Linked DNA regions of Tamandua tetradactyla. The protein of the gene in region 1 interacts with the protein of each later gene in a biochemical or structural test. Links are inferred from orthologs where the notes say so. Each region holds a gene or a part of one and is shown on either strand. Other genes may lie near its edges.

Region 1 (7,743 bases):
ATGCCTTAAAGTCCGGCAGCGTGAGACCTCCAGCTTCGTTCTTTTCCCTCAAGATACTTTTAGCAATTCGGGGCACCCTGCCCTTCCAGATAAATTTGCTTATTGGTTTTTCTATTTCCGAAAAATAAGTTGTTGGGATTTTGATTGGTATTGCATTGAATCTGTAAATCAATTTAGTTAGGATTGACATCTTAACTATATTTAGTCTTCCAATCCATGAACACGGTATGCCCTTCCATCTATTTAAGTCTTCTGTGATTTCTTTTAACAGTTTTTTTGTAGTTTTCTTTGTATAGGTTTTTTGTCTCTTTAGTTAAATTTATTCCTAGGTATTTTATTCTTTTAGTTGCAATTGTAAATGGAATTCCTTTCTTGATTTCCCCCTCAGCTTGTTCATTGCTAATATATAGAAATGCTACAGATTTTTGAATGTTGATCTTGTAACCTGCTACTTTGCTGTACTCATTTATTAGCTCTAGTAGTTTTTTTGTGGATTTTTCCGGGTTTTCGACGTATAGTATCATATCATCTGCAAACAGTGATAGTTTTACTTCTTCCTTTCCAATTTTGATGCCTTGTATTTCTTTTTCTTGTCTAATTGCTCTGGCTAGAACCTCCAACACGATGTTGAATAATAGTGGTGATAATGGACATCCTTGTCTTGTTCCTGATCTTAGGGGGAAAGTTTTCAATTTTTCCCCATTGAGGATGATATTAGCTGTGGGTTTTTCATATATTCCCTCTATCATTTTAAGGAAGTTCCCTTGTATTCCTATCTTTTGAAGTGTTTTCAACAGGAAAGGATGTTGAATCTTGTCAAATGCCTTCTCTGCATCAATTGAGATGATCATGTGATTTTTCTGCTTTGATTTGTTGATATGGTGTATTACATTAATTGATTTTCTTATGTTGAACCATCCTTGCATACCTGGGATGAATCCTACTTGGTCATGATGTATAATTCTTTTAATGTGTTGTTGGATTCGATTTGCTAGAATTTTGTTGAGGATTTTTGCATCTATATTCATTAGAGAGATTGGTCTGTAGTTTTCTTTTTTTGTAATGTCGTTGCCTGGTTTTGGTATGAGGGTGAGCTTCATAGAATGAATTAGGTAGCTTTCCCTCCACTTCGATTTTTTTGAAGAGTTTGAGCAGAGTTGGTACTAATTCTTTCTGGAATGTTTGGTAGAATTCACATGTGAAGCCGTCGGGTCCTGAACTTTTCTTTTTGGGAACCTTTTGAATGACTGATTCAGTTTCTTTACTTGTGATTGGTTTGTTGAGGTCATCTATTTCTTCTTGAGTCAAAGTTGGTTGTTCATGTCTTTCCAGGAACCCGTCCATTTCATCTAAATTGTTGTATTTATTAGTGTAAACTTGTTCATAGTATCCTGTTATTACCTCCTTTATTTCTGTGAGGTCAGTGGTTATGTCTCCTCTTCCATTTCTGATCTTATTTATTTGCGTCCTCTCTCTTCTTCTTTTTGTCAATCTTGCTAAGGTCCCATCAATCTTATTGATTTTCTCATAGAACCAACTTCTGGTCTTATTGATTTTCTCTATGTTTTCATGTTTTCAATTTCATTTATTTCTGCTCTAATCTTTGTTATTTCTTTCCTTTTACTTGCTTTGGGGTTAGTTTGCTGTTCTTTCTCCAGTTCTTCCAAGTGGACAGTTAATTCCTGAATTTTTGCCTTTTCTTCTTTTCTGATATAGGTATTTAGGGCAATAAATTTCCCTGTTAGCAGTGCCTTTGCTGCGTCCCATAGGTTTTGATATGTTGTGTTTTCATTTTCATTTGCCTCGAGATATTTACTAATTTCTTTTGTAATTTCTTCCTTGACCCACTGGTTGTTGCAGAGTGTGTTGTTGAGCCTCCATGTATTTGTGAATTTTCTGGCACTCCGCCTATTATTGATTTCCAACTTCATTCCTTTATGATCGGAGAAAGTGTTGTGTATGATTTCAATCTTTTTAAATTTGTTAAGGCTTGCTTTGTGACCCAGCATATGGTCTATCTTTGAGAATGATCCATGAGCACTTGAGAAAAAGGTGTATCCTGCTGTTGTGGGGTGTAAAGTCCTATAAATGTCTGTTAAGTCTAGCTCATTTATTGTAATATTCAAATTCTCTATTTCTTTACTGATCCTGTCTAGATGTTCTGTCCATTGATGAGAGTGGCGAATTGAAGTCTCCAACTATTATGGTAGATGTGTCTATTTCCCTTTTCACTGATTGCAGTGTATTTCTCACGTATTTTGGGGCATTCTGTTCGGTGCAGAAATATTTAAGATTGTTATGTCTTCTTGTTTAATTGTTCCTTTTATTAGTAGATAGTGTCCTCTTTGTCTCTTTTAACTGTTTTACATTTGAAGTCTAACTTGTTGGATATTAGTATAGCTACTCCTGCTCTTTTCTGGTTGTTATTTGCATGAAATATCTTTTCCCAACCTTTCACTTTCAACCTATGTTTATCTTTGGGTCTAAGATGTGTTTCCTGTAGACAGCATATAGAAGGATCCTGTTTTTTAATCCATTCTGCCAGTCTATGTCTTTTGATTGGGGAATTCAGTCCATTAAATTTAGTGTTATTACTGTTTGGATAATATTTTCCTCTACCATTTTGCCTTTTGTGTTATATATATCATATCTGATTTTCCTTCTTTCTACACTCTTCTCCATACCTCTCTCTTCTGTCTTTTTGTATCTGACTCTAGTGCTCCCTCTAATATTTCTTGCAGAGCTGGCCTCTTGGTCACAAATTCTCTCAGTGACTTTTTGTCTGAAAATGTTTTAATTTCTCCCTCATTTTTGAAGGACAATTTTCCTGGATATAGAAGTCTTGGTTGGCAGTTTTTCTCTTTTAGTAATTTAAATATATCATCCCACTGTCTTCTAGCTTCCATGGTTTCTGCTGAGAAATCTACACATAGTCTTATTGGGTTTCCCTTGTATGTGATGGATTGTTTTTCTCTTGCTGCTTTCTAGATCCTCTCTTTCTCTTTGACCTCTGACATTCTAACTAGTAAGTGTCTTGGAGAACGCCTATTTGGGTCTATTCTCTTTGGGGTGTGCTGCACTTCTTGGATCTGTAATTTTAGGTCTTTCATAAGAGTTGGGAAATTTTCAGTGATAATTTCTTCCATTAGTTTTTCTCCTCCTTTTCTCTTCTCTTCTCCTTCTGGGACACCCACAACACGTATATTTGTGCGCTTCCTATTATCATTCAATTCCCTGATCCCCTGCTCAAATTTTTCCATTCTTTTCCCTATAGTTTCTCTCTCTTTTTGGAATTCAGATGTTCCATCCTCCAGTTCACTAATTCTAGCCTCTGTCTCTTTAAATCTACCATTGTACGTTTCCATTGTTTTTTCCATCTTTTCTACTTTGTCCTTCAATCCCGTAAGTTCTGTGATTTGTTTTTTCAGACTTTCCATTTCTTCTTTTTGTTCAGCCCATGTCTTCTTCATGTCCTCCCTCAATTTATTGATTTGGTTTTTGAAGAGGTTTTCCATTTCTGTTCATATATTCAGAATTAGTTGTCTCAGCTCCTGTATCTCATTTGAGCTATTGGTTTGTTCCTTTAACTGGGCCATATCTTCAATTTTCCTGGTGTGATCCATTATTTTTTGCTGGCGTCTGGGCATTTAATCAGATTTCCCTGGGTGTGGGACCCAGCAGGTTGAAAGACTTTCCTGTGAAGTCTCTGGGCTCTGTTTTTCTTATCCTGCCCAGTATGTGGTGCTCGTCTGTCTGTGGGTCCCACCAGTAAAAGGTGCTGTGGAAGACTCTCGCTGTGGGGGAGGGTCGCCAGCCGACGCGGCTTGGGGGGGTGACTATCCATATCTCCCAGCCGGCACAGGAAGCCACATGTGGGGGGGGGGCGCCGGCTGTCGTGGCTTGGGGGAGTGCTGATCCAAAGCTCCCAGGCGGCCCGGGAAGCCGCGCGTGGGGGGGGGGCGCCGGCCGCTGCGGCTTGGGGGAGTGCTGATTCAAATCTCTTAGCAGGCCCGGGAAGCCGCGCGTGGGGGGTGGGGGCACCGGCCGCTGCGGCTTGGGGGGGTGCCGATCCAAAGTTCCCAGCCGGCCTGGGAAGCCACGTGTGTGTAAGGGGCTCCGGTCGCTGGCCTCCGTGGCTTGGGGGACCTCTGATCCAAATGTCCCAGCCGGCCCGTGAAGCTGCGCGTGGGGGGTGGCACTGGCCGCTGCAGCTTGGGGAGGGTGCCTATCCAAAGCTCCCAGCCAGCCCGGGAAACCGCGCGTGGTGGGGGGCGCCGGCCACCGTGGCTTGAGGGACCTCCGATCCAAATCTCCCAGCCAGCCTGGGAAGGAGGGAGGGAGGGGCTCTGGCCGCCAGTTGCCACGGCCCGGAAAAGCGCACACCTCTCAGGGACCTCACCGCAGCGGATTCTCTTAGCCGGTTCAGCCGTTCCAGAATGGGGTACGCTGTGTTTCTGTTCTCTGTCGTGGCTCCAGGAGCTGTTCTGTACTGTCTCTATTTCTTTAGTAGCTGTTCTCGAGGAGGAACTAAGACCCGTGCGTCTTACTATGCCGCCATCTTCTCCGGACCTAGGTCATATTTTTTAATGCAACCTGCCAATCTGTCTTTTTATTTTGTAGCTGAATCCGTTAACATTCAATTTATTAATATAAAGGCAGTATTTCATTTTATTCTTTGGTTTTATCCTTTGATATGATAATGTCATATCTTATTTTTCTCTCTCTTTTTTATCCTTTCCATTTTCAATACTGGTAATTGTACATTTTAAACTTTCCTTCCAAGCCTCTTTCTCCTGTTTTTCCTTTCAGGCTGCAGAACAACTTCCTTTAGTATCTATTGTAAGGAAAAAATACTTGCCCTACAGGTTGTTTTGGGAAAACGTTTGTCAACATTTCTTATTGACAGACTGTTTCTGTTTATCTATGGGTATTTTAAACTTTCATTCATTTTCAAAGGACAGTTTTACCACATAAAGATTTCTTGGCTGGCAGTTTTTCTCTTTCATTATCTTTAATATATCATACCACTACTTCCTTGCCTCCATGATTTCTGATGAGAAATCAACACTGTGAGATGGATTACTTTTCTCTTGCAGCTTTAAGAATTCTCCCTTTACCTTTGGTATTTGACATTCTGATTAGTATGTGTCTAGAAGAAAGTCTATTAAGATTTATTCTGTTTGGAGTACATTGTGCTTCTTGGACACATATGTTTATTTCCTACCTAAGAGTTGGGAAATTTTCAGCTGTTATTTCCTCAGATACTCCTTCTGTACCTTTTCCCTTCTTGTCTCCTTCTGGAACACCCAAAATTTATATATTTGTATGCTTTGTGCTGTTATTCAATTCCTGAGAAAGTGCTGAATTGTTTCCTTTTTTTTCTTTCTCTGTTCTTCTTTTGGTAAGATTTTGATTGTTCTGTCTTCTAGTTCACTGATTCTTTCTTCTTCCTGTTCAAATCTGATGTTGTATGCCTATAGTGAATTTTAAACCTCTTCTGTTGGGCCTTTTATTCCCATTAATTTTGTTTTATGTTTCTTTTCATAATTTCAGATTCTTCATTATGGTTACCCTGTGACTTTTAATATCTTTTACCTCTTTGTTTGTATTTTTCTTCATCTCCTTGAATTTATTTGGGGGATTTGTTTGAACATCTTAGATTACTTGTTCCGTATTCTTTGTTTCCTCTGAAGTTTTAATTAGTTCCTTTGACTGGGAACTAATTAACAGGGCCATATCTTCCTGTTTCCTAGAATGGCTTATGATTTTTTGCTGATGTTTGGGCATCGGGTTATCTTGATGAGCTTTCTGTGAAGATCAATTTCTTGCACTGCCTGGGTTGTTACAGTTGATTGGCTTTGTTTTAATGTTCTTCTTTGACATATGGTTCAACTTATTCTAGTCCTTTAGAATTTCCTGTGTTTAACTGATCAGATGTGTTCAGCTCTTCTTCATCTGATTCTTGCCTTGGGTATGTGGCATTATTTTTAAGGTTGCACTATTTGTGCAGTTGTTTCACCCGCAGGAGAGAGCTCCCTTTCACCTATTCTTTCTCCAGAGATCTTGATATATTCTTTTTGCTTTTGTTTTGTTTTATCTCCCTATTTATTTTTGTATTCATTTATTTGCTTTTTACTCTTCTTTCATTGCCTCTAGCTGCTTTTGTGTGGATGCCAAATTCTGGGAAGAGGGTCCCTCCTGAGAGGACTTTCCTAAATCATTATTTCTCAGGTAAAATCGAGGCAGAAGCCCAGGAAGGGATTATATATTTCCAAAGAGCCTTGGAGAGAGGATCAGGAAAGACCCCTCCCAAAACTTTTTGACAGCCCCCCTAATTTGTACTTTCTTGGCCTGTCCAGAAGATGGCATGCTTCAACAGACTGTTCCCAGCAGCGCTAAGGAAGCCCTGTGTCTTTAAACCTCCACCACCATCACCATTGCCTGTTGTGGCATTGACACAATGGCCACAGTGATGTCTGCCCAAGGTGGGCTAACATCAGAGCTGGGACTCCGTGATCTAAATTTGCCAGTCAGAAGCTGTGATCAGTACTTGTCTGTGCCTTATCCCTGTTCTGGGGATGAGGGCTTCCACATCTGTCACCCATGGCAGCAGCCAGCGAGGGACCCACTCGAGGTGGCTGACCTTGAGAGTGGGGGATGGGCTTCCACAACTGCCGCAGAGTGAGTTACTCACAGTTTGTTACCATCGTTTCTCACTCTCTTCGTCCCGGTCTTCCCTGGATGCTCTACAGTGCTAGCTTCTGGAGCCCCAGGACAGTTGTTGCTAATAGTTTCTGCTTTTCCACTGGCTGTTTTGTAGGGAGAAGTGATTCCTAAAGTCTCATCTTCCCTGTCCATCTCAAAGCAATGCTGACTTCTTGAAGAAGAAAGAACTAGTTTCCTTAAGTGTGAACAGGTACAGAAACTCAGAATCATTTCTGTATCTAGGGGCTCTTTGGTTGAAGCCTTTTGTTTGATTGAGTACAAGTAGGGAAGAGCTCATCTTCCCACCTCTTTTTTCTCTCCTCCATCAGAAAGCAGCAGTACATAAATGTCATGCTTGAGCCTGGCATCCTTGGTGTTATCTAATTATCATTGATCTTTAACTCTTTATTGCCTATTACTCACATTCTCCCACTTCAATGTAATTTTTTGGGGAAAGAAAAAGATCTATAGCTTTACGCTTTCCTGTCCATGTAAATTAAAGTTCAGTAATAGATTTTAAAAAAGAAAAAAAATAATGTTTCTTAGAATCTTTCTTTGATTACTTAATATCTGTGATTTTCCCTACCTCCTCTCAAGGAGAAACCTTGAAAACTAACAGTTTAACCCCAAGAATTTCATTAAGGAAGGCCTGCAATATAAATTTCTTCAGAGAATACTTTTGAAAAATAAAGAATGTTTACCTTTCTTTAATATTTGCAAATTGTAGAAGTGAGTAAACACTACAATATAATTTATTCTGCTCTGCCACTTCAAAACCTTGTAAGTTTTCTTCAAAGGCAGTCTCTTCCCTGATTATAGAAAAGATTTAATAGGAAAAAGTACTCCTGTAGTATTGTAGTACATAGACTTTTTAACTTAAAAAATAGACTTTTAACTTAAAAACTACAGCACATTTACACTTTGTTATAAAATACTAAAATGAATAATTAAAACAGGACTAGAAATGTCAAAATAAATGATAACTCTGGGTTATGGTGCAGAGCTTTTAATATTTTTCATGCATTTTTTGCTTTGTTG
Region 2 (7,669 bases), on another chromosome or scaffold:
CGTCACCGCTGCACTCCGACGGGATGGGCTCGTGGTCCGGGTGGCCTGGGGGAGAGGAGCGGCCTCGCTGGGGTCCTGGAGGCTTGTGTGGGTGCGAGGCACGCTGTACTCCTCTCCCGGCATGAGGAAGGGCTACCTTTGGCCTAGGGGGCAGGCAACCAGAGCTGGCATTTGAACCCCGGGCTGTGGGACTCCACTGTGTGGCTGCAGCTGGGGTGGCCTTGGCATTTGTACCTTTTAATGTTTGTTCATTGGTTGGTTTTACACTAAATCAGACATATCTTTGGCCTTTGAACACCACGGATAGAGGAAATGTTCAGCCATCTCCTCCCCACCCAGAGGACAGGTGACCCCACAATGGTGACCCCAGAAATGGATGTTTCCATTTGGCCATTGGGGAGCACTGGGTGGGCAGGCAGAGACTAGGCCAACAGCATCCCGGCAGGGCAGTGTTTGACCCACACTTCTCGGGCATGCGGGCGTTGGGGAGAATGGGACAAGGCTCTCGCTTCCTCCCCCAGAGCTTCCGGTGCACGGGAGAGACGGATGGTGCCGTGGGGAATGGAGCGACAAGTTAGGGAGCGGCCAAGAAGCGACTTAGATGGGAGCTCAGGCAAGGCCTCTCTGAGATGGGGTAGTAAGGAGGAGCGAGGAGGTGAAGGGCCAGTTTGCTTGATTCAGGCTGAGGAGCTGTTCTTGGCCTGGCCCAGGAATCTGAGGTGGAGTAAGGAGTTGGGGAGGACTTAGGCTTTTGCTCCAAGTGAGATGGGAGCCATGGAAGGTTCTGGGCAGAGGAAGGACGTGCCCTGACTCAGGTGCTCACAGGTGCCCTCTGGCTGCAGTGGGGGGAACAGCTTGTGGGGGTAGGAGATGAAAGCAGAGGCAGCTGCACTGGTCCAGGCACACAAGGTGATGGATGTTTGGGGTCAGGGTGCTGGCAGTGGAGGTAGAAGCAGCAGAGGGAGGCAGGTCACGGTGGAAGCAGGACTGCTTTGGGGTTGGATGAGGGAGGCCAAAGGAGAGAGGGAAGTGTGAGACAGGGCAAGATTAGGATGGCTCCCAAGGGAGCTGCCCTTTCCCGGGGTAGGGAGTCCTGGGGCAGAGGCAAGCTTGCGGGGATGAGACCACGGGATGCATCACCCCACCCGGTAGTACCCAAGAGCAGATGGAGACGTGAGTCTGGAGCTCCTGAGAGGGGTCAGTTCTGGAAACCCAGACTCAGCCACTCATCCACAGATGGACAGGAAGGGGCCTTGCCCAGGCTGGCCCCAGGCCTGGCACATTCTAATACTTTCCACCACAAGCCATTCTGCTTCACATACCAGCCTAGTGAATTTTTCCTTGGTGACTTTGGGAAAAAGTTATTTATTAATTTTTTTAAAATATGATATATAGTCATCTGTATTTCACTGTATTACAGTAAAACAGTAAATCTGTTTTCTAAATATCATGCTCCTTGAACACATACAAGGTAGGCTTTTTTTGTTGTTTTACTAAGGAGAGACTTTATCAAAAGGATTATTGTAAAGGGGGAAGGATAGACTTTAAAAAAAAATTTATTTATTAAAAAATTTAACAAACCAAATAAAACATTAACATATATAATCAGTAATTTACAATATCATCACTTAGTTGCATATTCATCATTTCTTAGAAAATTTGCATCAATTCAGAAAAAGAAATAAAAAGACAATAGAAAAAGAAATAAAACGTAAACAGAAAAGAAAAAAAAAAGATTATACTTACCATACCCCTTACCCCTCGCTTTCACTGATCACTAGCATTTCAAACTAAATTTATTTTAGCATTTGTTCCCCCTATTATTTATTTTTATTCCATATGTTCTGCTCGTTTGTTGATAAGGTAGATAAAAGGAGCATCAGACACAAGGTTTTCACAATCACACAGTCACATTATGAAAGCTATATCATTATACAATCATCCTCAAGAAACATGGCTATTGGCAGCCTCTCCATTACATCTTGAATAACAAGGTGATATCTACTTAATGTGTAAGAATAACCTCCAGGATAACCTCTCCACTCTGTTTGGAATCTCTCAGCCATTGACACTTTGTCTCATTTCACTCTTCCCCCTTTTGGTCCAGAAGGTTTTCTCTAAGTCTCAGCTCATTCTAGGGTTTTTCTCAATCCCATGATGCTGAGTCTCAGCTCATTCTAGGATTTCTGTCCCACGTTGGCAGGAAGGTCCACACCCCCTGGGAGTCATGTCCCATGTAGACAGGGGGAGGGTGGTGAGATTGCTTGTTGTATTGGCTGGAGAGAGAGACCACGTCTGAGCAACAAAAGAGGCTCTCTTGGGCGTGACTCTTAGTCCTAAATTTTAAGTAGACTTGACCTAGGAAGGATAGACTTTTGAGGGAGTTTGGAATGGGAAGGGAGAGGAGCTATCAGTAATAGATTTGTTCACTTAATGAACAGCACTTACAATGCACCAGGCTGCTGTATTTAATAAGAGGTGGGTACTAGCATTCTCCCCATTTTGTAGAAGGGGAAACTAAGGCCCAGAGGGGTTAAGTCACTGGGCTGAGGTCACACAGCCAAGAAGTGGTGGAGCTGGGATTTGAACTCAGGCCATCTGGTCCTGGGCTCAGGGCAGCGGGACTGAAGCCCAGAAGAGGGTGGAAGTTGGGGGGGAAGGCAAAGTGGGGGGTGGGGTGGGGGAGGCTCAGAAAGGGAGGGAAATCCGAGATCCTGAAACCTTTAGTCACCCTGTTCTCTCCCTCTTTTCTTTCTGGGATGAAGAAAATGACTATGGAAGATGACACAGCCACTTTGGAGGCCCACCCTGGCTCTGCCGCAGCCCCCGGCAGCTCTGGGCCCCGGAAGAGGCCCACGTCCACCTCGTCATTCCCTGAGCCCCCTGAGTTCAGCACTTTCCGGTCCTGCCAGTGAAGCCAAGGCTGGAGCCTCTGGAGTCTGAGCACCCTCCCTTCAGCCCTTCTCCCTCCAGCTGGCCCAGCCTGTTGGGGGCCTGAGGTCCCCACCGCCCTCAGCTCCTCTGGGGAGCTCAGGCTACTGCTTTCTCAGGGAATTGACCAGAGATGATGGGGCCCCCCCAGGCCTTGGCGCCTTCCTCATGGGGGGGCAGGGGCCTGGGCACTGGTCTGGAGGCTGGATGGAGCAGGAAGGCTCTCTCTGGATTTCCAACTTCTGAATACCACCAAGGAAGGAGACCGGAGGCCTGGGCTCTACACACATACACACATACCCCTCCACTTGGGCACTGGACTCCTGGGCTTTTGGAGCATAGGTACCTGGGTGTGCCCTGTGTGCCTGCCCTGCTGGCACGCCTAAGTTATTATAACACGTTTTGAGGTGTTTCCAAGGCCCCCTGTAGGATGTGATCCTTCCAGCCTGGGACCTTGCGGGTGGGTGTGGGGAGAGCATGAAGGGCCCAGGCGTGTGCGTGTGGCCTGGGCTGCTGTCAGGGTGGTGCACGCGGAGGGGTCTCCCTAAGGCGCTCGCACTGGTGGGGGCAAGAGAAGGAATGATGGGGCAGGGGTGGGGTGGGGTGGGGTGTAGGACAGGGGTGGATTGCGGCGAATGAGGAGTAAATGAGAAGGTGCGGGTAAGGGTGGGCGCTTCGGAGGATCGGAAGTGACTACAGGCCCCCTCGGACCTCCCCAAAAGGGGTGTGGCCGCCGAGCAGTGGAGGGGGCTCGGAAGGAGTGGGGGGGACGCTGGACCCACCCTGCGGGATGCCTCGTCATTGAGGGGGGAGGGTACCTGGGGAAAGGGAGAGGCCAGGGGACATATAGAGGTGGGAGTTGAGGTAATCTTTTTAGGGGGAAGGAGAAACTGAGAGGCCCGGAATGGAGAAAGGGGCTGTGGGGAGGGAACGGAGGTGATGCGGCAGCCCGGGGAGGAGGGGACGGGGTGCGGCCGGTGCTGGGAAGGGGGCGTCGGGACCCTGCGCCCACCCAAGCCCTTCTCAATCTTCTGTTCCAGCCGCCGGGCTGGAGGCGGGGCCACGGGCAGGGGGTGCGCCCCTAAACCCTGCGCCCGCTCCCCACTGCCGCCCTCCCGGAGCGCCTCAGGCCTCACAATGATGGGCGGAGCCCAAGCGCGGGGGCGTGTCCGGACCGCCCAGCCCCACCTCCGTCCAGCCCGCGCCGGGCGAGCCCCTTCACGAAGCGTGGCCGTTGGGGCGGGGCGGGGCGGGGCGGGGGCGTGTCCGCACGGGAGAGCCCCGCCCCCACCTCCCCGGGGCACCCACGCCACCGGACAAAGGGCGGCCGTTCCGGCGAGGCGGGGCCAAGCCTCGCGGGCGTGACGGCGCGGCTGAGCCTCCGCCCCGTGACGCACGCTCCCGCCCCGCTCCGAGCCACCTCACAAAGCGGCGACCGTCCGCGGTGGGCGGGGCCCGGTGCGCGTGCGTGAGGCCCGTCCCCTCCACCCCCACCCCGCGGCGTGCTCTCTCCTGGGCCCGGGGCCGCCGGCAGGGGGCGCTGCGCCACGGGGCCGGGCCGCGGCGGTGGCAGCGAGGCGGCGCGTGGCCGGCAGGCGGCGCTGCCCGGCTCGGCCTCGGCTTCGGCCTGCGCGGCGGCGGCGGCGGCGGCGGCGGCACCGGCGGCGGCGGCGGCGGCCTGGGCCCGGGCTCGGCGGCGGCGGCGGCGGCGGGGCCTGGAGCCGGATATAAGATGGCAGCGGCGGCGGCGGGGCCGGGCGCGGGCGGCGCGGGGGCGGTGGGCGCTGGCGGCGCGGGGCCCTGCGCGGCCATGTCCGTGTTTCCCGGCGCCCGCCTCCTCACCATCGGCGACGCGAACGGCGAGATCCAGCGGCACGCGGAGCAGCAGGCGCTGCGCCTCGAGGTGCGCGCCGGCCCGGACGCGGCGGGCATCGCCCTCTACAGCCGTGAGTGCGGGGCCGCCGGGGCCGGGCGATCGCGGGGGGCGGCGCACGAGGCCGGGCCCGCCGCGGGGGTCCCCGAGCCGGAGGGCCGGGCCGCGGTGCCGGGCCAGGGTTCCCCAGGGCGCGGGGCCTCGGGCCGTGAGGGCCTCGCGCCGGGGTGGGGTGCGGGGTCCCGAGCGGAGGGGTGTGGAGGTGGCCGGGGACGGGGAGAGCCCGAGGGCGTGCGCGGTGGCCCGAGGCGAGGTGCCCGGAGTGAGGAGGCAGGCGGGAAACGGGGGCGTGTGGGGGCCTGAGACTTGGGAGGGGGTGGGCAGGAAGCGGGGGCCCGAGAGTGGAAGGGGAATGGGGGGGCAGCTGGGCGGGTGGGGACTGGGGGGCAGAGGCGCGCCGCGGCGGTGGGAGAGGTGGGAGCCGCGGGGCCGGGTGTGGCCGCCTAAGGGGGCGGAGGGTGGGCTGGGGGGCGACCGGCCCTCTCAGGGGGCTCCGGGTGGGGGGCCTGCCGAAGACAGTTGGAAAATGTCTCGCACACTGGTTCCTGGAGCTCAGTTCCTGGGTTGGGGCATGACGTTCAGGATCGAGGAGGGGGAAACTCCTAGGTCCGGGGAGGGGGTCTCAGGAGGGGCTCCTGGTGGGAGTGTGCACCGGGAGGGCCCGTCCCAGATGGCAAGTAAGAGGTAAGGGGGCCTCCTCGCTCCCTGCGGTCCTCTTCTCTTCTCCTGGGGGTTGTGAGAAACTGGATACAATTTCAGAAGCCGGTTTCAGAACTGACATTTCAGTGGGGGCGGGAGGGGGGAACACAGCAAATCACAAAGGTGTTTGCCAAGGACCCTGAGTCTTTGTAGTTCATCCTTTTTCTTTCTCTTGTTACTTTCTTTTCTTCTCTGCCAGTCTTCCTTCAGGTTTTGCTATTCTGTTTCATTCTGCTTTGTCTGCCAGGGTCCTTTGGCCTGCATTGGTCTGTGTGACTTTATTGCCACTTTGGGGACCTAGTAGTCATTCCAGAGAGTGGTAGGCTCACACCGTGGCTTTGAAAAAGAAAAAACAGATCAAAGGAGCTGTGCCTGGTTCTCAGTTGTCACATCTATCTTCTCTTGGACAGGGCTGGGGTCTTCTTGAACCAGACGAGGAGAGGGGAGGAGAAGGTGTAGTTAGTGGGCATCGGAGCTCAGTTGGACAGACATTGGAGCTCCATTTTAACCTGGGCAGGATCCCCAGATCATAAGCAGATCCATTCATTGGGCAAGCACTTGTGGCTAACTCTGTCCTGAACAGAAAAAAGTAGGGCTGCCTTCCTCAAACTAGAGTCCCAGGACTTATCCACAAAAGGCTTACTGTCAAAGAGTCCCAGGAGAGTTTATCTTTCTTTTTTTAATACTTTTTTTTTAATATTAGAATGGTTTCAGATTTATAGAATAATTGGCAAGATAGCACAGAGCATCTTCTACAGCTGACATCTAATCACCTGGATTAGTGATATCTTACTCCTGGAGGGTTTCCTCATCTTGTGTTTTAGTCTTGTTGGTCCTTTTTAAAATGTTACTAGTTAGAAAGATAACACTTCTCTTTTAGAGATAATCCCTAGCTAAGAAGGCTTTTAAAGAGGAGAAAGTCTGTGTTTCTCAAACTGAGTTCCTTGGTTCAGGCTGATACCTTTTCATGGGGTTTGAAAGAAGCTTTTCCCTGTCCGTTCAAGCACCGTTGGTATGGAACAGAGAACCTGGGTTCAGAGTTGGCCACACCTGGGAGTGTTAGTTTCCTAGGGCCTTCAGGACAAGGTAATTCAGACTTGGTGGTTTAAAACAACTAAAACTGGTGGTTGTGGAGGCCAGAAGCCCAGGATGGAGGTGTTGGTGGGACCGTCCACCCCCCACCCCCTGCAGGTTACGGGGGGTCAGGGGTTCCTCCCTGGCTTTGTGCAGCTTCTGGGGGCTCCAGGCTTTGCTTGGCTTGTGGCCACTTCTCTCCATCGCTGCCACTGTCTTCCTATGGTCCTCTCTCCTGTTTCTCTGTACGCTCACCTCTTATAAGGACTACCGTCACTGGATTTAGGGCAGCCTCGTCTGGAAATCCTTCATTACATCTGCCAAGACCCATTTTCCAAATAAGGCCCCCTGCACAGGTTGTGGGGGTGAGGGCTTGGAGCTGCTTTTTTTGTGTGTGTGTAGGGGGGGCACCATTCAGTCTGCCCCATGTGTGAGACCCGTGTCTTGCCGTTTTTACTAATTGTGTAACTTTGTGCCTCACTTTCCTCATTGATAAGATGGAGCCGATGACGAGGTTGGGTGAGCCCATGTGTTTGCTCGATAAGCACATGCCTTTACTTTGGAAGTAGCATCTGGCCCCCTTCTGGGCTGTGATGGGCACGAAGTTGGCTGGGTTTCTGCATAGGGTGAGGTGGCACTCATCCCTGAGATGACAGAAGAGTACGGGACCCAGGGAAGAATTGCTCTGAAGTATGGCAGGACGGTTGCAAAGTCCCAGGGCTGGGGCACGGGGCCTGCATGTGGAGGATTGGAGAGCAGGCCCGGCCAGCTGGGCAGGGAGGGCAGGCTGATAGCCCTGGGAAAGCTCAGAGGTCGTCCAGCCCCTGGAGGCTGAGGCATCTGGGGTGGGGGGGGGCTATCACCCACCCCAGTCCTATGACTTGGGGGGTGAACCTGGCTTCGTGGAGCTTTAAGCCTTCTCTGGAGATGTACTTTTTTCCCCACTTCGCAGCATTTTCCCATCTGGATCCTCTGGCGCCATCGAAAAAGCACCAGGAGCCCTGTTGTGCACTCTCTGCCCATCGTGAGAAT
Region 3 (7,436 bases), on another chromosome or scaffold:
AAGTCTTTTCAGATTCCTTCCATCCCTACTCTCCATTAGCAGGGACCTGTCCTTTCTACAACCTCTTTGGTACTTAGTTGCATCTGGTTTAAATCTCTTCCTGCCACTTTTTAGCTATGTGACCTCAGCAAATAACTTAAATTCTTTGAGGCTCAGTTTCCTCATCTGTAAACTAATGATACTCACCTATTTCACAAGGTTGTTATGAAGACTAGAGATAAGGGATAAAAATTGGTGGTACTATATTACATGAGGCTTGACACAAAGAAAAGGTACTACAATAACTTGGTCATTATGATTTGTCCTTGTCTCAAGTCTCACCTACTTTCTCTTGCAGTACTGTGATTTATACTTGTCTTACTCCTCTTCACTAAAAAGAGGAAAGTGACTTGAGAATTGAGACCCAGTCTTACTCATCTTTGTATCCCTGGTTATATGACACTTGTGTCTATTGCTTGGTCTGTAATAGCCCAATTATCTAATCCTGACATTGGCCTCACCCTTTTCCTTTCTGCAAAAAAGAGGGAGCTACCTGTCAAGCCCATGTCGTTTTTATGGTCAAAATAAGATGTTCTAGTTTAAAACACTTAGCAGAGCGCCTGACAGAGTAGGTGCTCAATAAATGTGAAATTTGAGTCTTAAAGCTAGTTTATATTTATCAGTCTGCTAATTTTCACTAATGTTTTAAGACAGAGTCTATAGATCAGAATGTAGAGCCCTAGAATGGAACCGATTTTATAATGCTCTGGGGAGTGGAAATATAATGCTGTTATTTTGATAATATGCATCTAACGAAGACAGTAAACATTTAGTTTGGCCCAATCTACTATTGATGGATTGATGACCCTTAATGGAAAATAGACCCAAAAATATTTTCCGTACTACCCATTGTTTAATTTTCATTAAAATTCAGTTTTATGTATGAATTTCACAGATATATTTTATTCTATATCAAATGTCTTTGACTACAGCTGTGGCTTGAATGTGTCTATTTCTTCTGAGTGGACTTTTAAAATTCATATTTGTTTTTGAAGATTCCATATGCTACTTGTATACCCTACCTGCCTGAAAATTATTTATGTAGCTCATTTGAACACAAAAGTAATGGGAGGGTTACTTGGTGACTGCTCTTTTTGTTATTTTCTTAATTAAGTGCCATTGGATTGATTTTTTATTAGTCCAGTCAAATTTAAATTTTGCTTGGAAGAATTCATAGTATGTTAATTTTGAGACCTACTCTGTTGCAGGCACTGATTTATTTAAATCATATCCTCTAAGTCTCATAATTACTCTCTTAGATGAAAAAACCCAAACTAAAAGTCCAAAGTAGGTGACAGAGCTTGAATTCAATCCAGGTCTATTTGACTCTTTTTGCCATACTGACCAAAGACCTATGGGCAGAGTTTTACAGCCAAAAAAATCATCTATTCCATGCTGCAGCCCTATTCAATAGCTGCTATTATTTTCTTGTTTTGCTTTCAGTAATCTCCTAACATTGTTGTATCAGCTGAATTAAATAATATACAGGCAAGGTATTTTTGGTTTGTTATGTCTCATTTATTTTTTTTGAGAAGTCATGGGTTTAAAGAAAAATCATGTCAAAAATACAGAATTATCATGCAGTCACCATCTAAGGTATTTTTAAATTGGGGCATTGTTACCTCAAAGTGGACATTTTCACATAATAATGCTATTATTTTCATAAGGCCAAGGAACTGTGTCAGTAGAAAGCTGTTGGTACCAAAAGATCCCCAAGATTCTATGATGGCTTATGAAGAACATAGGAATGAAGTAAAGGGCATTTATTAGCAAAATAAAAATATTACCAAATCCTAACTCACTGACCTTGAACTGCGGGGTGACCGTTCATATTTTTGTGGGTCATGCGTCCCTATTGAGTCATATAATACAAATGGTTTTATGCCGATGAACTTCTTACATGTTTGTTGGCATTCAGGATCCCTGATAGGAACAATTCCTGTGAACGTTTCATTGTAATAATTTAATGAGGGAGAGCACAGTGTAGAGCTTTGGACTGGAATCAAGAAACCTGATTTCTGGCTCAAACTCGGCTATTCTCTATCTGGGTCATAACGTCGGGCAAACTGATTGAATTTCTCTGGAACCCATTTTTCCCTCCATGAAAAACTAAGAGCGAATATGTGTAACCTTCCTGGTATTAAGCTTTGTGAGTCTGAGATTTCAATAGTCGGTTTCCTTTAGCAGGATCACAGAACGGGGAAACTGCTTACTTTACATAAAGCACACCAAGCTTGCTCGTAGGATATCTGTGGGTTACATCCCTTACAGACGTGGCTCACCAATGACTGGATAGGTTACCCAGGAAATCTCTATATAACCAATCTGGAAAAATTAATTGATAAAATCTGAAAACCAAAGAAGATAGCTAGCTATTTTAGAGGTTTCGCATTTCCCGTAACATACCTATGGGTCGGTTGAAAATATAGCCTATGGAAACCCAATTACTAGAGAATTTTAAAAATTACCTGCAAAGACAAGTCAGCATATTTTAGGTGGACTTCTTTGGTTCAAAGATACAATAATTTGAAAAGTTTTTAATTGATCCCTAGAAGTGGTCAGACACGTTAGGCTCTTTTTCAGGTACTATAGGCAATGGGGGGGAAAAAAAGGAAATTCTCAACTGATTTTTCTTTTTGAGAGTTTTACTATTGGGCATTATTTTTCCAGACAAAAGTACCTTTTATACTGTCCCCTAATTACCAGTCAGATATGAAAAGGAAAACTCAGAATTCAAACATGAGTAAGAATATAATATACAGAATACCTATTCAACTTCCAGTAAAATAATTGTAGGCATCTCAATGTCAGACCCCAGTGGGCTTTAAGGATTAATCCATTTTGCAGAAAGGTGAGACATCTGGACCAACTATCGATGGACTACACTATAGGTGAGACGTGTGGACCAGCGAAAGGACCCAGCAGATTTGTGGCTGAGCCCAGGTAAAAGCTTTAGGACTTTAGAATCTGAATCAGGATTTTGAAGATCAATTATACACCAACTGAAGAAAAAAAATATATATATATATATATACACACACACCAACTGAAACTGTTGGTTTCAAGGTAACGTAGTTTCATTCTGTTAGTATTGAAAATCAAGATGGCATAGTGGTTTAAAATATTAATCTTGTATCGAAAATACGTTTCTTTTTAAAATTCTGAAACCAAATTAGAGTTCGTGATTAAAGAAGAATGAATTTCTCTACCAAAAAAGACAAAAGCAAATGAGACGTGTCTGTTTTGGTACTGGCCATCCCCTGTCTTTCTGTGGGAAGACTCAGCTTGCTGGGTGGGTGGTGGTGGAATTTACTTCTAAGAAGACAGATTATTTGTTCCACTAAAAGGCATGTGTCCCATTGGCACATCATTCTTCCCATGTTGTCTGCCCTTTGACTCCGAAGAAACCCTGAACTGATGCAACCACCAGCAGAAGACAAGGTTCCAAGCCAACTTTAATTGCACTTGAAAAATGCAGCACTTCTTTTGGGTAAGGGGAGGCATGTGCTGCAGCAGTCATGCTGGTCGTTAGCAATTATCTCACTTCCTCCAGAGAGAGCACCACAGGGAAATTCAAGTCTTGTCCGAGCAAGAAGATTGATGCTGTTATTGGTCCATTAGCTCTCTCAGCTCCTCCTTGAATAATCCATGTGAGAGGAATGTGGCAAGCAGCTGCCCTGTCATCATTCACATCAATAAAAACAATAAACATGTATTTTTATGCCAACTAGGGACACTGGGCTAGACTTCAGAGATACAGAGAGGAGCAAGATGCTGTTCTTTCAAGGAGCTCCTAAACTTTTAGGAGGAGCCTAAGTTTTAGTAACACTCACTAATGGAGCAACTTTTGAAAATGGGTTGATAGCAAAAGAAAATAAGACTCTAGGTAATATTATATACCGATCCATCCAAAGTTTACATGTAAGAAAAAGAGAGCTTTGAAAGCAGTTTTTAAAATCCAATCTAGAGGATAAAATCCAAATTTAAGTTGTAGCTAAAAAGCAAAATTTTAATTAGCTTTCAAGAATAACCCAACATAAAAGTATATAGATCCTGTTTCATGGTGATCTTTGACTTAAATCATGCCAAACACTGTACAATACTTGGGGGGGGGGGAGAACTTCGTACAGATAAAATACAGTGATTCTGTTAACTATGGGTTTTTTTTAGGCTTTCTCTGCCTTTTTAATAAAAAATCATTCATTTTTTTAAATGATTTTTATTTGTATACTGTACAGTGGGGTCACATTTCATTCTTTTCCCATGTGAGTATCCCGTTGAATTTTTGTTGAATTTTTTGTTTGTTTGTTGTTTTTGTTGGTTTCTGTGTTTGTTTGGGAAGTGCATGGGCTGGGAATCAAACGTGGGTCTCCTGCTTGGCAGCTGAGAATTCTACTACTGAGCTACCCTCACACCCCCCAAATCATTCACTTTTATTAGTCTAGGTGCCTTCTCCTAAAGGTACTGAATTGGAGGAGTTTGTTTTGGGGGACTGAGTATTATTTATTTCCTTTTGGTCAAAGACAGATTCCATAAAGTAATATTGAAGACTAAATATCAAAGAGTAGCTGTCTCATCTCAGTCTAACACTAGACTGTCAAGTGTTTTCCACACTCATGAACCAGGATAGAGTTAAATAAACTTTTCACCCTCTTCATGAATAGTCATTCCTGATTATCCCCATTCTATCTCCTCCTGCCGGTTTGGTAGTATACACATAACCACATACATTATAGATATCCAGAAGTTCATGAAGAGCTGCCTTCCCAACCTCTAGATCATGCAGAGCCCTACATCCCTCAGTAGAAGGAATTGAGTTAGCTTTTGTGCATGGTGCCTAAGGAAGGTGGCTCTTTTACCACCACTCCTTACTCCATAAAATTACCAAGGACTCTCCTTCTAGGGGCTTCTGTACAGAATAGCAGTAGACTTCTATATAGAGGTTTCCTTGGTTAGGTGGAAACCTCCATGATTCCATTCCAATGAAATCATTTTTTAAAGCATCTTATAATATCTTCAGGTTTTTTTATTATAAAGAATTGGATGCTGGGAAAGCTGAAACTATAATGGTAGAAATACTCACATGCATGTGTAATCTCATGAATTTTCTGGTGACCACACGCTGTCCACCAATAAGAAAGACTTTGTTTAAGCAAATATACTATTTCTGATATATATGCATGATAATTGGCATTCAGAAGTTAAAATCAGTTAAGAGATCACTCTTGTAGGTGTATTTGGGATAACTTTAATAAATACACTGAAATATGAACTCATTGAGAACAGGAACCTTGGCTTATTAATGTATTTATTTTCTATGCCTAGAATAATACCTGGAATTTAGTAGGCATTTGACAAATGTTGAATGAACAAGTGATGGATAGATGTAAAATAAATCTTTTCAGTGTCTAAGAACCCAACAAGTCTGTAATTAGATGGAAATGGATTTTACTCAATTTATTTGGCCCAGTTGATTTTGGTCCATTTTTTTCCTATGTGAGCAAATTGTGTTTGAAGTAAACTCACTCTACAGTATTGTAAGACAAAATATTATAATGAAATTTAATATGAAATTTGATCAGATAGTCTGCATTGTATCGACATTTTGTGAGTGGCTTGGGTTGCTTTGTATATTGCTTGGTTTGTATACTGCCATTTAATAGTAAATACGGCTGTAATTTGCCTACCAGACACAAACACATCTTGGAACCTTGAGGAGGAGTATTTGTAGGCAGAATGACACTTTAATTTTTGTTCGGTTTTATTAGAAAGAACGAAAGCACCCTTGACTTTAATAATTTACTTTGATTCACCCAAAATCCAATCAAGAATCTTACACTGAACCACACCCTCAAATATTATGTCATCGTGTCGGGATTACTTTGTAACATAAATAAATTTCCCAGCATTGAGAGGGAAGGAGCAAGGTGTTTATTTAGAATTCACACTGAATATGGCTAAAACTAGTTCTACACAACTAGAAATGCCTCAGCCATTTGGACTGTCAAGAAACTTGCTTTAACCTGAGAAACTGAATGTAGATGAACTATATATATATTCCATGTGGGGAAAATTGGGGTAAGTATAACAGGGTTATTGCCATCTGATTTTCTGCCGTACGTGGGGGTATCTTTTTAAGTCCACAAGTCACTGCAGTTTTATTAGGGCCACTTATGTGACAAGAAAAGGCCTGCTCCCACATTAGGCATTTGGCACAGCTAGCATTTCTCCTTGCCAAAAAGGGCAAAGGCCTTGAGCAAGAAGCCAGCTTTTTCCTGATTACAAAACTGACCACAATTCCTCGCCAGCCTATCAGCGTCACTCTCTGTTTTTTTTCTGGTAACGCGCTATTCTTCACAGAGAGTGAAGAGAGTGGTTTTTTTGGTCTTTGTTTTGTTTTTTTTCATTATGACATGGCACTTATCATTTAAACATCACCTGGTGTTCAAACATCAGCTGATGCAATATTGCTGCATTTGTCACTGATGGATAAAGCTGAAAGTTTTAAAAATGTAAACCCGATAAGTAAAACCTTAGTGAGTGTCAGGCTTTGTCTCCGTTCTCTCGGCTATTTAATTTTATAGAATTTGGGCAGCAGGCAGTGTCATCTGGGACTACGAAAAGCAGTAGAATGCCTTACAGATATAACGTTTCAGTGGCGTGCTGATACCAAATTTATTTATTTTTATTTATTTTTTATTTTTTTATTAATTAAAAAAATTAACACAACATTTAGAAGTCATTCCATTCTACATATACAATCAGTAATTCTTAATATCATCACATAGATGCATATTCATCATTTCTTAGTACATTTGCATCGATTCAGAAAAAGAAATAGAAAGACAACAGAAAAAAATAAAACGATAATAGAGAGAAAAAAATAAAAATAAAAAGATGATTACATATTTGAGTTCCAAAGTTTTCTTCAGATGAGGGGATTCATAATTCAACCAGAAGCTGAGCAGCTAGAAGAAACTTTGTCCAAATAAAGTTACCCGGCATGTCTTAACATGGAGATTTAAAGTGTACCTTTTAAGAAGCATCTGATTATCGAACCACCTCTGTGCTCTGATAATTCTCAAGACTCTATGGTCTGTGCCCCTCACAAGACACTTTGCATGTGGGTCACTGGCCAGACAGTGTGGCAATGTTTTCCTTGTAATATATCAAGTCTTGCCAAAGCAGTGGACAACATTATGACACAACATTTTGTCACAGCTGGCTCTTTTAATAGTTCCTGGCCTGCCAATTCAGGCCTGGTCCTTTTGGTGTTTATTCCCGCCTCTCCCAAATATTTGGAAATGGAGGTCTTGACTCATTGGTGTATTCACGTGTTCGGTTACTGCAAGTCGTCGTCTTCTTTTTTTTCTTTCTTTTTTTTTTTTAATGGATCA
Region 4 (7,589 bases), on another chromosome or scaffold:
CTCTGATAGTGGCTGTGTTCTCACCTCTGCTTCCCTAGCCCTGAGCCCCAACTTCCTCATCTTGTTGGCTTGACTGGCGGGGGAATGGATCTGGCTGGAGAAGAGGGGACAGCAAGGCAGAATAACATGGCAACATCTGGAGCAATGGCAGAAAAGGAGCTTGATCAAAGTGGGGGTGGGATGGGGGAAAAGGCTGTGAGGCCCAGGGATTTGGGATATCCAAGGGAAAGGAAACACTTTAGGCTAGTAGAGAAAAGAACCAAGTGTCTAGCCCCAAAAGCCCAAGAAAGATTGAAATACTTGGCAAGCATACAAGGCACAGAGGGTTTCATTTACTTTCATTCCATCGGAAAACTGCCATTACCCTCCCCTAACAGGAACATCTTTCTTTAGAAGCTTGCCTGGGTCTCACCACTATAGGAAGTTAATTGGCAGCAGGTGGAGGGAAGAGAAAACGAGTCCATCCCACACACTTATATACACAGCTGGCTCCAAACCATTTTCCTTCCCCCATCAGTTCCCAAATCCAAATCACAGCTTTCCAGCTATCTGGGAGAAAAGATGAGGGTGGAGGGGCCTAAAAGGTGGCTCCATCTCAAGGACAGCCCCTGAATTCCCCACAATTCCCTGTCCCTGACTTCCCACAAGAAGTCCAGAAAGAGACTGGCCAGGACAGTGAAAGGCAGAATTTGAACTAATCATGAATTGTTTCCTCTCTAACACCCTGGAGGACACCTTCTCCCTCCACGCCCCCAGCACACAGGGGGAGAGTGATAGGGAAGGGGGGCCAGTCTGCTACTTTCTTTGCACCACCCCTCCCTCCAGGCCCTTGTAACTCTTCTTCTTAAACTCTGCCTCAACACCAAAGTGATTCATCTTCACCTTCAACTCTTGTAGCAGGGATGCAGACCCTGATGGAAATAGAGACCTCCCCGCCACTTCTTTCTTCTGCTGGCAAAGGGAAGGATAAGGGAGCTCTCTGGGAAAGCAAAAACAGAAGTTGGGAAAGTTTGGGGGATCCAATATCTGGAACATATTAAACACTCAAAAAATATGTTCAGTGAATGAATACAGGGGGATAAATCTGAAAGGCAGCCTTGAGAAATTATCTTCTTTTTCCACTTCTCACCTCAGCTAGGGAAAAAACAAGGCTCAGCAAGACCCAAATCCCTTCCCTGGGCACCTCTTCATGAGCCAGGACCAGGGTGCCTGATGGGACAAAGGTGATTGAAAGGGGGGAATTAAGTGTAAAGTTGTGACTTTCCTCTTGTCTGCGTGATTGCTTGCTAATTTCCCAGTCCTTCATCTTTGTTGGACCTTTGATTCTCAACTCCACATAACTGTTTCGACCTTTCCCTCTCCCTCTCCTCTCCATTTCCATCATCTCTTCTTGATTTGGAGAACACTAATGGAGAGAGACATCTGGGTTTGGGGTTCTCTTAGCTGATGGTGTCTCATTTCCAGAGCACCCCAATGAGTGGGGCTGTGTCTGTGGAGCCAAAGGGTATCTGCTGTACACCTCCTTACCACATGTTGACATCACCCAGAGCCTAAGAGGTTCAAGCGAGATGGGAAGGGGTGGAGGAGGGAAATCGCCAAGGCCAGGGCCACAGAGCTCGTTCCAGGGCTGACTGGCAGAGGGCCTGTCCCTGCTCCCCTAAACTGCTTGGGATGTGCAAGGCTTCTTGGCAGGGATGAGGACACTGTGTGCGGGCTTGGATGCCAGTTTTGGGGAGAAGCTTTGAGAAGGATATCTGGACCCCCTGGTTCCTAGGGGTGGGACCCTCAAGAAATCTTGGGGTGCTTCCTAGCAACAGCTGAAAGGAAGGGAGGGAGGAAAGAAGGGAGGAAGAGAGGGAGGAGTCTGGGCATGCTGTTTCAGTGGGAGCCCAGAGAACAGGCTGTTCCTGCTGCCTCCTTGGCAACCAAAATCTAAGAGGGAGGGGGCTGTCAGACAAATCCCCTTTGAGGGTCCCTATCTATTCTCACTCATTTTCCACCCTCCCTCTCTCCCCACAGACCCAGGGCTTGCTGTGAAGCGAAGTAGGGGGATGGGAGGGGATGGTGCCAATGGAGACCTGGTGTGAGGTTCATGGCCAGTAGAGAACAGGAGCTGGGACTGAACAGAATCTGAGAAGAGCTGGAAGCTTCAAGAAACTGGGAGTGGGTAAGAGAGTGGGGTTGGGAAGGGGGATAGTGCAACCAGGGGCAGGGGCTGTAAACCCAACCTGGGCTGGCTCCTGGCACCTGGCAAGATGCCTGCTTTGGAGGCAGTGTGTCCTTCACCTTGCCTTTGCCTAAGTCTGCCACCAGCCCATATTGGGAGCCAAGGAGAGAGAGAGAAGTAAGAAGAAAAGATGGGAATGGTGAGTTCTTTGTGTTTGAGTTCAAGATGCCCTACATTGCCCCTGAGATGGGGGGGGGGGGGCAAGGGGGAAAGGTAACTCAGGAATTGCTTCCTTTCTACAGCTCTGGCTCTAGGATTTAAAAATGTCTCCTTTACCCAACATCTTTAGGAACTGGCTCAAAGAGAGATGTGGTAAGCAAGCCAGGATGGAATAAAGACAAAGCCACAGCCCTTCTTCTTCTCCCTCTAGACCCCTTTATTCCACCCCTAAGCCCGATTACTGCTGGGGCCGCTTCACTGCCTCCTGGTCTGCCTGGTTCACTGCAGAGTATAAGTGTATCTCATGTGCTGGGATTCTCTCCCAAATCCTCAGGCAGCCCAATCCCAAGGGACAATTTCCATGCAGGGCAGAGCACTGCACCCTGAGGGTTGCACACTGCAGCCCAGCTCCCTAGGGTTTCAACCAAACCTGAACTTGGAGGAGGTGGCAGCAACTGGCAGACAGCCACCCTCAGTGCGCCTCACACTGCACACTGCAATTCCACTGCATGCTGACTCTGCATTGCAGCCTCCTGCCCCACACTGCAGCTTCTGCATACCCACTGGAAGTCCAGATGGAACCCACAGGTTCACTAATGGTGTGCTGACAGCACATTGCAGCCTAATTCTTCACTGCAGCTGCCACATTGCACACTGCAGGTCCCCTTTGCCCATTGTACTCCCGCCATCAACACCACCCCCACTATGTACTCCATGGATTTCATCTCAGCTGCTTTTCTCAACCCTGTGGACCTGGGAGCCACAAGAGTGGCCCCACCCCCATGCATTGCAGACCCCAATAGCCCTGGTAAGAGGAATAGTTCCAACAGAGCTAGGGGTACCAGGGGCTGAGACTAAGATGTGCAAAGGTGGCCCCACCTCACTGGGTTGTTGGTCAAAGCCCCACACCTCAGCATGTGATTCTGCCCAATAAACAGAGCTGCTGCCCCTAATACACACACACAAACTCCCCGAGAGCAGACTGTGGAGAAAGGGCCCCGCCCTGGGAGCTGTGGGATGGCTGTGGCCCCCGCTGGTAAAACTGGGCTAATGACAGCAGGGGAACCGGCGGGGCCAGGGTGGGTGCTGGGGTAATTAGAGCTCTGCCGAGCTCTGGGAGATCCTGACATGAAAGGGGCTCTGGCGTCACCGGGATGGTCCTTAAGGCAAGTGTCTGTGTGTGTGTGTGTGTGTGCATCTATGGGGGGTGGGGCTGGCACGATAGAGACCTCCCTTCTGGAAAAGGGGGTCCATGTTTATATAGCCCACCCTCCTTTTATACTCGCTTGGTACCATTTGGATTTTGTTGGGGGCAAACATGGGAGGAAATACCACCCCTGTCAAGCTGGGAGTTCAGGTGTATGGCAAGTCTGGCCCCCTCCTGGAGCTCAACCTGTGGGGAGGTGGGGAGGCATTGCGGATTGTCGGGGGGGGGGGGGGGGGAAGGCTGATGACAATGAATAAAAATATATAATGGAGGAGGGTGACATTTGAAAGGGGAACCAGCAGATCCCGTAATGATGTTAGAAATGGGAGGGGAGGAGAACATGGGGAATGTAGTGATAATCCCCAAAAAGATTGAGAGCAGGATGACTTAAGTTAAATGGACATCAGGAGTCACCTGCCCATTCCTTTCATTTTAAGGTGCAGGAAGCTGAGAGCGGTGGTGATTTATTCAAGGTCACACAGTGAGTTACTGGCAGAGAAGGGACCCGAACTCCGAAACAAACTCTGAACCTCTAAGCGTTTAGCTTATAAGCTCCGACTTATAACGCGCAGGTGGCACGTTAGTAACCCGCCCCCGTGCAAACCCTAAAACCCCCAAATCTCCCAGCAAAGGCTATTTTTAAAATAACATCTTCTCCCAAATATGTCAGCAAGTACCACTCCTCCCGGAGACGTCTGCTGTGTGTATGTGGAGGGGAGGCCCGAGCCTGAGAGGGGCGGGGGCGGGGGCAGGAGCGGCGGAGGGGCGGCCCGGCCGCTGGCCAGGGTCCCGGGGCGCGGCGGGGGGCGAGAGGCGGGGGCCGGCGGCGGCAAGGCGGCCTGCAGGGAGCAGCCGCGAGCTGGCCGGGCGCGCCGAGCCCGAGCCCCAGCCGGAGTGGGGCGGGGGAGGGAGGAGCCAGAGCGGCCGCCGCCTCTGCCGGAGGAGCCGCGGGGCCGCCACACTCGCCCCCCGCCCCCCCGCGCACACTCGCACTCACACCCGGGCGCAGGAGGCGGGCGGCCCGGGCCCCATCGGCCCCCCATGGACGCCCCCGGCACGGGGCGCTGAGACCCCCGCGTCGCTGCCCAACCCCGTCCAGCGCGCCACGCCGAGGTAAGGGGAGGGAGCCAGTGGGGGGGGCATTAATATGCAAATGTCTCGCGATTGATTATGCAAAGCCGCGGGGCTCTATAGCCAGCTCTGGGGCGGACTGGGGGCGCCCAGAGGGTACGCGCTGCCAGCCCTTGCCTTCCCCCGCGCGCGGGTGACCCTGTCACAGCCCGGGAGCATGCAACTTAACGCCCTGGGGAAGGGAGGTGTTGCTAGGAGGTCGGTGGGCCCCGGGGTTCGTCGGCGGAGATGGCGTCCGGGCCTCCCCCTCGAGGGCCCGCCCGGCCTCTGTCTGGCGGGTCTTCTGCGCATTCCCGGGCCGGGCCCCGCTGCCGGCCGGCCGGAGCTCCCCCGCCCGCCGCGCCGCGGTTTGTTTACGGTGCGCCGGAGGCCTGCCCCCCACCCCCCAACCCTAGCTTCCGAGGCTGAGTGGCTTTTGCAAAGCTGCCTCTGGCTGCGGAGGGCAGTATGGGTCCGGTGGGGGTGGGATGGGATGGGCTTGCACGGGCCCGGGGTGAGGGAAGTTACCCCCCACTCCGCCCGCCTCTCCAATTGAACATGGTTCTCTGGTTGCAACACTCCTATTTGCAAAAACGCGACGGGAGGGGGGAGCGTTGTGAGTGTGTGTGTGTGGTAGTGGGGTGTACTTGAGGGTCCCTATGAGATGGAGAGTTGCAAGCAGAGTGGCTAGAAAAGAGGGAGGAACGGACCTGTGTTGTGTTTCCCCTCCTTTCTTCCCCTCTCCGCCCTCCCCGCCCTGCAACGTGTCTCTGGTTGGTGCCCCTTCTCTTTCTGGGCCCTCCCTGGTTCAGTGTGAGCGGTAGCGGAGAGGGGGACGGATAATGGGGTACTGGAGAGAGCCATTAGCCTCATGAGTGGGGGAACATAGAAAGAAAGCCAGTGGAATGGGAGCCTGCCCCTCAATGCTGGCTGTGGCCCCAGGAGGGGGAGGGGATGAAGGGGGCTGTTGTCCAAGATGAGGGGGTAAGCGAGTGTGACATGCAAGCACAGAGATATGACCACAGACAGCCACATGCACACCCAGGGACACCCAGGCAGATTCAAGGACAGGAGCTGCTGGACACACCCACACCGGGACAAGGGAAGAGGCAGGCTGCTGCTGCATGGTAGAAGCTCAGAGGGCAGGACACACCCACGGGAGACCAAGAGCAGGGAAACTGATCCATGCACATACCCAGGCACAGAGTCACAGGGAGATGCTGTCACACTCAGGGGCAAGAGGGAGCCTCTGTAGCACCTCGCATGCATGCACGCACACAGAGCAACTGCACACAGCCACACAATTACAAAGACCCTGTCACTCACAGGCACACACGTGCTCGCATGAGCCCACTCATACAGACATCATCGCCTGCCGTGACAGTCGCTGACACTCAGTCAAACATAACTGCAGTTACACATCAACACATGTATACACAACTTAGCAACAAGTATTTTCCTGGACTCTCATGGTGTAGCTCTGAGTTTCTGTATACAAAAAAAAAAAACCTGATGTCAAGAAAATTAAATTTGCCCATGTGAAAAGACTTTTCTGCATAATGGTGCAAGGCATGCATTCATTATAACACATTCTGTCTCCATGGCTTGTCATACCATCCTGCTAAGTGTATGCTCCTTAACCTGCTCTGGGATCCCCCGTAGAGCCTGGCACAAAAGGTGCTCTGTAAACATTTGTTAATTGATTGACGCTGGGCACTCTAGACACAGGTGCACTCATTTGTACACAGTCCCACGGACCCTGGTGTCCATCGTTTCAGATCCACACTGACAGTGGTGTCCAGACAGCCCCAAATGCACACATTGTATATCGTGCATGTAGACAGGCACACACTTAGACGTATACACAATCACAGACTTTTTATCTGAAGCTTCCTCCTCTAGGCTCACCCTCTGAGTCCTAAGAGGATGGGCTTTTTTTTTTTTTAAGAGATGGAGAGAGCATCAACAGCAAAGAGAGTGGGAGCAGGGGGGTTCCAGAGGGCCGAGTTATGGGCCCCAAGCAATGTCCAGTGACTTCCCAGCTGGGATTATCCTGACTATTGGAAGAAGAGCTGTTTGGGGGAGAGCTGGCTCCTTGGGAGCGGCCTCATCCCCACCTTAAAAGCAAACTGGGGGTTCTAGCTGTCTCTGCCATGGGTTATTTGCTAGGGCCTTTCCTGGGGACAATCACTTAGTCCCATTTGAGTTCTGCCTCCTATCAAGAGTCTGGCCCCTTTTCCCACCTCTGCTCTCCTGTCCCGGCTTGGAAGCTCTCCTTAGGAAACGTGTGCTAGTGAGTATCTGGGTGAGCAATGTGTATTTTTGACTTGGAATTTCTCTCTGACTCTGTCTCTCTGTGGCTGTCTTGCTGTGTCTGACTCTCCCTCTCTCTCTCCTTGTTTCTATGCTGGTCTGTAACTCTCTCTCCCCCTGTCTGACTACCCCTGTCCTTGTCTGCTTCTGCTACGGCCTCCTGTCTCAGAGCTGGACACTGGCGGTAATGGGCTTCATACTTTTCCAGTTGTTAATGCGCAAACTCCGCCCCACTGCCCCTCCCGCCCTGTCTCTGGGGTCAGCAAGAGGTTGGGGGGGGGTGCTTAGCTGGCTGCTCAGGACATCCTGCGCTTCCTTAGTGCTGCAGCTGCGGCCAGTGAGTTTTGGGGGCTGGGAATAGGGGAGGGCAGGGAAGGGGGTCATTTGCTGCCCATGCTGACCCCTCAGGCTGGCAGGCTCAGCCAGGGGACACCAGCTTTGTGGAAGCCCTTGGTGTGCAGGCTGCAGCTAGCTGGCTCCCAAAAAGCCATTGAGAGGTACCCCACCACACCGACCCCAGCTAGAAAACAATCGCCCCTATGGGTAGTGGCGGGAGTTGGCACGACTCGGCTG

The links.
Region 2: the proteins of GRIP1 (region 1) and CARM1 form a complex in vitro, tested with the Homo sapiens proteins (2 studies listed by BioGRID). The link is inferred for Tamandua tetradactyla from reciprocal best matches to the Homo sapiens genes GRIP1 and CARM1.
Region 3: the proteins of GRIP1 (region 1) and PPARG form a complex in vitro, tested with the Homo sapiens proteins (2 studies listed by BioGRID). The link is inferred for Tamandua tetradactyla from reciprocal best matches to the Homo sapiens genes GRIP1 and PPARG.
Region 4: the proteins of GRIP1 (region 1) and THRA form a complex in vitro, tested with the Homo sapiens proteins (2 studies listed by BioGRID). The link is inferred for Tamandua tetradactyla from reciprocal best matches to the Homo sapiens genes GRIP1 and THRA.

The regions. Positions count from the first base shown.
Region 1 is NC_135333.1:134,777,283-134,785,025, reverse strand, and holds the start of GRIP1 (glutamate receptor-interacting protein 1), read left to right. Parts: upstream 1-4,726; 5' UTR 4,727-6,578; coding exon 6,579-6,681; intron 6,682-7,743. UniProt on the Homo sapiens protein: May play a role as a localized scaffold for the assembly of a multiprotein signaling complex and as mediator of the trafficking of its binding partners at specific subcellular location in neurons.
Region 2 is NC_135337.1:90,987,303-90,994,971, reverse strand, and holds the start of CARM1 (histone-arginine methyltransferase CARM1), read left to right. Parts: upstream 1-4,663; coding exon 4,664-4,877; intron 4,878-7,669. Other genes in the region: C11H19orf38 (protein HIDE1), read left to right, coding at 2,766-2,915. UniProt on the Homo sapiens protein: Methylates (mono- and asymmetric dimethylation) the guanidino nitrogens of arginyl residues in several proteins involved in DNA packaging, transcription regulation, pre-mRNA splicing, and mRNA stability.
Region 3 is NC_135335.1:36,552,220-36,559,655, reverse strand, and holds the start of PPARG (peroxisome proliferator-activated receptor gamma), read left to right. Parts: upstream 1-4,419; 5' UTR 4,420-7,436. UniProt on the Homo sapiens protein: Nuclear receptor that binds peroxisome proliferators such as hypolipidemic drugs and fatty acids.
Region 4 is NC_135332.1:27,215,008-27,222,596, reverse strand, and holds the start of THRA (thyroid hormone receptor alpha), read left to right. Parts: upstream 1-4,576; 5' UTR 4,577-4,706; intron 4,707-7,589.